Ovis aries: one gene and its partner. The protein of the gene in region 2 purifies or fractionates together with the protein of the main gene of each other region. This does not show direct contact. Links are inferred from orthologs where the notes say so. Each region holds a gene or a part of one and is shown on either strand. Other genes may lie near its edges.

Evidence for each region. Proteins that work in one complex are often made in the same cells at the same time.
Region 1: the proteins of POC1A (region 2) and NUDC purify together in Homo sapiens (co-immunoprecipitation; 3 studies listed by BioGRID and IntAct, with this or other methods). This does not show direct contact. The link is inferred for Ovis aries from reciprocal best matches to the Homo sapiens genes POC1A and NUDC.

What each region holds. Positions count from the first base shown.
Region 1 is NC_056055.1:240,012,559-240,016,638, reverse strand, and holds the start of NUDC (nuclear migration protein nudC), read left to right. Parts: upstream 1-1,280; 5' UTR 1,281-1,407; coding exon 1,408-1,488; intron 1,489-3,813; coding exon 3,814-3,891; intron 3,892-4,080. UniProt on the Homo sapiens protein: Plays a role in neurogenesis and neuronal migration. Necessary for correct formation of mitotic spindles and chromosome separation during mitosis. Necessary for cytokinesis and cell proliferation.
Region 2 is NC_056072.1:48,858,058-48,861,557, forward strand, and holds part of POC1A (POC1 centriolar protein homolog A), read left to right. Parts: intron 1-395; coding exon 396-539; intron 540-3,500.

The DNA.
Region 1 (4,080 bases), on a different chromosome or scaffold from region 2:
CCACATTCTGTCAGACCTCTCCACCATGACCTGCCTGTCTTGGGTGGCCCCATGGGCATGGCTTAGTTTCATTGAGTTAGACAAGGCTGTAGTCCTAGTGTGATTAGATTGACTAGTTTTCTGTGATTATCGTTTCAGTGTGTTTGCCCTCTGATGCCCTCTTGCAACACCTACCATCTTACTTGGGTTTCTCTTACCTTGGACGTGGGGTATCTCTTCATGGCTGCTCCAGCAAAGCGCAGCCGCTGCTGTTTACCTTGGACAAGGGGTATCTCCTCACCGCTGCCCCTCCTGACCTTGAAGGTGGAATAGCTCCTCTAGGCCCTCCTGTGCCAGGGCAGCCACCGCTCCTTGGACGTGGGGTTGCTCCTCCAGGCCACCGCCCCTGGCAAGTCATGGAAAGCGATCAAGTGGAGAAACACGTATACCAATCTTTTCAAGTTTTGGTGTGAAAGAGAATTGAAAATTGGGGTAGTAGGAAGAGAAAGTGGGAGCATACAATAGAAGTGGAGTTAAATGTGAGTTGAAGGGGATAATCCAGAAGAAAGAAAATTGTGATTCAGGAGATTTAGAAAAGAATAATAACAAGAGTAGAATCCCTGAAGAGACTAAGAAGATGAAATTCAATGAAAAAGTAAAGTGGTTGGCCTTCGATGACTGGCACCTGTCCCACACATTAACAGAAGTGAGGTTGAACACATCATTCATTACATAATTTGCCGGGACCAGTGCAAAATGACAATGTGGGCTCTCTTGTTCAAAAATTTCAGATTGCAGCAGAAGAGGATTAATCCAATCACAGAGTCCTTCTAAGTCCGGGGCCCCTGCGACTGCACAATTTATATAGAGCATGTGATGATGACGGAGGTAGACCGCTCTCTGCGCGAGTCCATTCTCCTTTTTTGGGGTCTCGATTGACTCATGGGAGCGTTAGAGTAGATAACTAAGAACATTTCCCACTTCACCCTTCTACAAGCTGGGAAGTCACGGCCAAGGCGTAAGAACAAAGTCTGTGCCTTTTTTTCAGTTCCAACCTAGCCGGATTTGTGCCCAGACCTTTCTGGAAGGCTCCAAAAAGCGTCTGGTGACCATAGCAACTCACACCAAACTCTGGGACCTTCCGTTCCGCCCACCGCTTCAGGAACGCGCTCTTTGATTGGCTCAGCAGGTCGACCAATGGCCGACAAAGCGGGCTATCTGCCCCGTGGTCAATGGCCGCAGGCTCGAAGCGGGGCGGGACGTGAGAGTGAGCGGGTGGGCCTGGGCGGCGCGGCGCCTGCGTGTTTCCGGCTCCGCTGCGGAAGGCGGAGGACTGGAGCCGTTGGACCGGACGCGATCCGAAGGGTCGGGGAGCGCGGGACGCCAGTGCGGAGCTCGGGTTTCGGAGCGTGGTTAGCAGCTGGCACGATGGGCGGGGAGCAGGAGGAAGATCGGTTCGACGGCATGTTGCTGGCCATGGCGCAGCAGCACGAGGGCGGCGTGCAGGAGGTAACGGCCCGCGCGGACTTGGCTGGGCCCGGCCTATCCGGGGGAAGGCCCCAGCCACGCTCTCTCCGTCCTTCTCTGCCTTCGAGAAGCCGAGATACACCCCTGGGCCTCGCGGGCTCTGGGATTCCCCTCCACATTCTTACTGCACTCGAGCTTCCGGTCTGGCCTAGTCGTACCAGGGCTTTCACTCGTACCAGGCCTGGTCCCCCCTGAGACCTCTCAGTAGTTTCTGCCTTTGCAGCTCCGGCGTCGCTGCACCCGCCTCCGGAAAAGCCCCAGAGTTTGGGGATTTACCCCCCTATCCACCACCCCCCTCGCCCCCGCCACATGCTTTCGGCTCCGTTTCTTCGTTGGTGGCCGCCCCCAAAGAGCATCCCTTGGGATGAATCTTTCTAAACATTACGACTTGCCTGTACGGAGACTTGCAGCTAGCGGAAGAATGTGAGAGTGGGAGGCGATATTAACACGTGGTCTTTGAATGGGGGAACAGGAGGCCTATGTTCACGATTGTTCTACAGCGCACCTACCAACTTGGGACCCTTCGACGTCTCCCAGCCTCAGTTTCTTTGTTTGAGACACAGCTAGGAATCCTTATATTTCCTGAATTTGTAGGAGAGTAGTGTCTTGAAGGGAGGGACAGCGAGGAATTCTCAGTAACCAGGCTTGGGCAGTCAACAGGTATTTGTTCGAATGATTGATGTGTGCAGGAACATAATTTCCTGCATAGTGACCAGACCCAGTAACAGAGTGGGTGAAGGATAAGGACCAACTTAGAAGAGGTCCTGGAATTGTTTTGAGCCATGGAAAAGTTCAAAAGGTAGAAAAGCCTGTCAAGATCTGTCTTCTTATTAAAGACACTGAAGGAACTTGCCCAAGATCATCCAACAGGCTCCTGACCTGGAGGGGACCAGCATCCTTAGGCCAGTGTGTGCTTTCCACAGACCATTTCAGGTTCTGTGTCTCTCTGGGATAAAAGTTTGGAGCTTTCCATTCTGGTTCTCATTCAGGTGGGTACCCGTGGTGACCAAGGACTCCTAAGCCCTTTGAGGTCGGAAGAGTACTATTTGAGGATGTGAAAGGCTCCCTCTCCCCGCCCTTCCCCAAATTGTTGACACAACTGGATTTGGAGGGTATTCATTTTTGAGCAAACTGAAAAAATTGTGTAGAAGCAGGAATTGAAGCCATTGAGATAAAATCTAGCATCGGATTTAGAACCACTCTCTTGGGCAAATAAAAGGGCTTAGTTGTAGATGCTAACCTTAGGTCACCACTAGATCGTTTCGTTCATCAGAATGTTTATTGAGCATGTACTCGGAGTCAGGTCTGGTGCTGGGCGCTGAGGATGTTCATGGTGCATGCAATATGTACTTCAGTCTCCCACAGAGTGTCTGTTGCTCTGGACCAGACACTGCTAGGGACCTCACCCCCTTTACTTCCTTTGGTTCTCACAAAGGATCCTCACGTATATCCCTGGAAATAGGTCCTGCTGCTGTTTCTCCTTTGTGGAGTTAAGAAACTTTCCTAAGGTCACAGAGCTCATGTCTGTCAGTCTTGATACCCAGACTGATGTTCTTAAACCACTTGGCTACCCAGCCATAATTAGTTGGTCTGAACTTTCTTTCAAATGGCTTCATTTGTTCCCTTTCTTCTAGCTCTGCCCTAGTAACTCAGCCAGTGCCACTCTGGATGGGTTTTTTACCATGTGAAGAGGAAGGGTGGGCCCCAAGTGTTTCAAACCCTAGATGCCCATATCCTCAGGCTGCCTGCAGCACCACAAAAAAATGTGAAGTATATATACACGTGCACACGAGACAGTGAGAAATCTGGGACTTCCTGGTGGTCCAGTGGTTAAGAATCGGCCTGCCAGTGCAGAGGACATGGGTTCGATCCCTTGTCTGGGAAGGCCCCACGTGTCATGGAGTGCCTAAGGTTAAGCCTGTGTGCCGCAGCTACTGAGTCCATGCCTGAGAGTCTGTGCTCCCCAAGAGAAGCTGCTGCAGTGAGAAGCCTGTGCACCACAATGAAGAGCAGCCCTTGCTCACCACAGCTTGGAGAAAGCCTGTGTGTCACAATGAAGACCCTGTGCAGCCAAAAATAAAAAGAAATGAGAAATCTGCCTTTCAGGTGATCTGGGTAAAGTTAGTTTAGGCTTCCTGGCAGGAGTGACAAAGCCTGGGCCTGTAGGGGGATGTGTCCTCAGTTGAGAGGCCAGGGGTGAAACAGTCTAGTCCCAGGTTCCCTCCTAGCCTAAGAGAGTTCGCTTCTGTGCAGTTGAAGGGCCCCCAATATGGCATCTCTCCAGCCTCTGTCTTTGTCTCCTTTCAGCTGGTGAACACTTTCTTCAGCTTCCTTCGACGCAAAACAGACTTCTTTGTTGGAGGAGAAGAAGGCATGGCAGAAAAGGTGAGTGATGGGGGCCAGTGTCCTTTGGGCAGCTCTGTTTCTCCAGAAGAGCTGACCTGGCCTTCTTTGGCATACTAATAACTGTTAGCAGAAGTAAAATGCCAGGGGCAAAAAGTCGGGGAAGGGAAGCAAGCCATCCTTTATTAAAGCCCCTCACCTCGCCAACTGCATTACCTACTCTATTCCACA
Region 2 (3,500 bases):
GGAGTGGTCGTTGGGCTAACTAGGAGGAAGGGTGACTTCAGGGTCCAGCATAGACTTCAGGGGCCCTGGACTCTGAGAGGCGTCACACTGAAGGTTACAGGTCTTGTAAAGAGCTGGCAGCCTGTGGCCTCTCATGAGGACGTCGAAGAGCCCAACCTGATATCCCTCTCAGGGCCCTGCAGCCTGGACTGCCAATTACTTTGATTCTGCTCCTTGCTCTCAGTCTCCACTTGGAAAGGAGGGCCCAGAGGTGGAGTCCCGCCCTTGCTCACCAACATTTGGAACTCGTCTTCTCAAGTTTGCTGGTGATTTTCCCCTTGATCCTTTGAGGGGCTCTTCTTTTCCTCATTGTTTCCTTAAGACTAAAGGGCTCTCTTTCCTTTCATCGTCTTCAGCCAGAAGTGGACCCCCTCGTCCCGCCAGGCAGGGGCAGAAGTCAGGAGTCGATGCAGAGCCAATCCCAGGAGCCCGTGAGCATGCCCCAGTCGCTGACCAGCACGCTGGAGCACATCGTGGGCCAGTTGGACGTCCTCACCCAGGTAGGCTGTGACGTGACTCCCCCCATCTGCACTCGGCCTGGCATTCAGGCCATTTGAAGTTGGCCTGCCAGTCCTGGGTTTTTAAAAAAACATAATTATAGTGTACTTACTCTTCAGCCCAAATGAATGAAATGGCAGTGCCTGCCCTGGGATCCTGTCTCTCCAGCCATTCAATCCCTGACCAAGCCATTGGACCCCAAAATCACCAACACTGAATCCTGTCAGGGAGTGCCCACCCAGTGCTGGCTTGGGCCGCAGCAGAGCTCTGAAAGAAGCACTGTCCGTTCATTCGAGTCTTCACTGGGTGGGCACTCTGGGGACATGCAAGAACTGTGCACAGAGAGTCAAGGCGCCAAGAGGCAGCCAGGCTCTGGGTTTGAGCTGGCGCTGCTCCTTGTCCTCCGAGCAGCCTTAGAGATACCCGTGTGGCTCTCCAGGTCCCAGCGTGCTTGTCTGTCACGCATTTGCCATGTCTCATTTGTTTGCGGCAGCAGGTCTTAGTTGCAGCACGCAAGATCTTTAGTTGTGGCATGTGGGATCTAGTTCCCTGGCCAGGAATCGAACCCAGGGCCCCTGCGTTGGGAAGTGCGGAGTATTAGCCACTGGACCACCAGGGAAGTCCCAAGCCTGCCCTGTTTGTGGTCAGAATTAAAGGCGATGAGTCTGCAAGCAGTGTTGGACCTGTGCCTACCCCTGGGTAGCTGCTCCATAAATGTTAGCTGCGGCACTGACCACCCTCATCCCTGAGGCCCATGTGGCCCCCCCTCCACCAGGCGCACACATGTACCTGGCTGCTCATGGACAGCGGTCTGTGCAGTGCAGAGATTTCAGTGAAGCAGAATGCCCTGGCGAGAGGTGGCAGCCAGCACCGTGGGCATACCCAGGGGGCCTCTCGTCCTGGGGCAGAAGAGCAGTTCTGCGCAGGGAGCAGCAGGATGCCTGCAGGCCTGGGCTGGGGGTGGAGGTGGGGACCACGAGCGCATCCAAGCAGTGAGCAGAGTCCAGCACAGCCAGCGTGAGGCATGTAGGTGGCGTGGCGCCTGGGCGACCGCAGGATGTAAAGGTCCTCAGGCTCCTGCCCATCTTGGCTTTGGGTGTAGACCCCTCTCCTGTGCCAGCTCACAGGTAGAGGGAGGGCGTAGGAAGGAGGCAGAGTACCCTTGAATCTCTGATGGAGATGGGGGTGAAGTGGCATGGTGTCTCTTCTGTACCGCTGGCTCCAGGCTAAGTTCTAAGAGCTCCTTCACGTGGCGTCACGTGGTCCACGTGTCACAGGATCCCAGCTAGTACGGCACGGCTTGGACCCACTGCCGGATGGACATTTGAGGGGAAATGTCAGGCGTCAGTGACTAGTGGGGATGGTGAGACTGTATGCGCATCACACTGACATCCCTGAGCGCCCTGAGCCTTGGAAGAGAAGGCCTGTGCTGCGAGGGGGAGAAGCAAAGACTTAGAAAACATTCCCCACCGCAGAGCCGTCAGAAAGCGCCCAGCCTGCCTCGTGTTCTTCACAGCCTCGTCAAGTGAGAGATCAGGGGAGGTGGAATGAATTAGAACTTTATAGGATAAAATTGGAAATCAAGTCTGAGAGGGTGGTTAAAAATAGCCTCATTGCATCCAGAGGAGTATAACACTAAAAACATTTCCTGTCACTGTGTTTTAAAGGCGTACACGGAAGGTTCTGTTATGTGTTAGCAGTCAGGAGTCTGATAGTAACTTCGTAAGAAACTGGCATCCCAGGGAAGAAGTGAGCCTCTCTGCCTTGGCCTGTGGCTGGGCTCACACCTTTCAGCCCCTTTGCAAGTCCAGACAGCGCTGCGCCTGACCAAAGGCCCAGCCCGTCAGCCAGTCACCCACTGTGCTGGGCGGTGTGCGTTCCTGGAAGCTAGAGTGTGGCTTGGGTTCCAAGGTGAAGTCCCCATCGAGGTCTTAGAGTGCAACCTGTTTTCGAAATGGTGTGTGTTGGAGAAGTGTCTGCACTAAATCTCGTGCCACCTTAGGCTTGGTCGTCGGTTGTTTTCCATGCTCACGTCCTCTCCTGGAGTTGAGGCTCTCACTGAGGTGTTCAGCCCCAGCCAGAGCTGCCCCATTCAGGTTGGAGGGTCCCTGGCCCCTCCTTTTAGGACCAGCATGGCCATGGACTATCCTTTCTGGAGGCTCCCCTCAGATGTAGAGCTGGATGACCACTGCCGTCCTTGTTCCTGTGTGGATATCTCAGCCGGGCTCTGCGCCTCCTGTGGGTGCTGCCCCTTGGCAGTGCTTCTCACCATCTGATGCACGCCTGTGCTCTGGAGGAGCTAAGGGTATCTCGGCCACCCCAACACTGACTCGTACTTAGTTCAAAGTCCCCTCTCCCTTACCTCACTGCCCCTCCCCTCCCCCACAAGGAGGTCTACTTCTGAGCAGCCTCTGAGAGGGACAACGGGCTTCTGTCCTGCTGAACATCCTTCAGGGAAGAAGCCTGGGGCTGCAGTGGGCAGTGGCCAGGATGTTTAGTGGAGTCATAGAGTCCCAGGTTACAGCCGGCACCCCGCTGTGGAGGTTCATGGTCCTCAGCCTGCCTTCCTACGGGTGTGACCTGCTGAGTTTATCTGCAGGCCAAACCTCACCTTCCTGAAGGTTACAGTTGGATGCTTTTGCTTAGTGGTCTGTGGTTACAGCCCAGTGGCCCAGCCTCTGAGGCCACTAGCCAGAAAGCACACCCCCTTGTCCTGGCCCTTCTTTGTGTTGGAGAGAACCCCCGCTTTTGCCCATGTAGAGTTGCTGTTTGGGGTTTCACTGCCACTGAGCTCCTCAGGACCTTGATCCCACCTGGCCACCTTACATGTCCCTGTTACCTGTGGGGAGCCGTGGTCTACCCTTGGGTGTCAAGGCTGCTCTGCTCAGTTCAGTGAGCCACTGCCCATTAGCCTGGGCGTACCTGCTCTCCTGGACTTGGGGGCGAGCTCCAGTCACTCATTA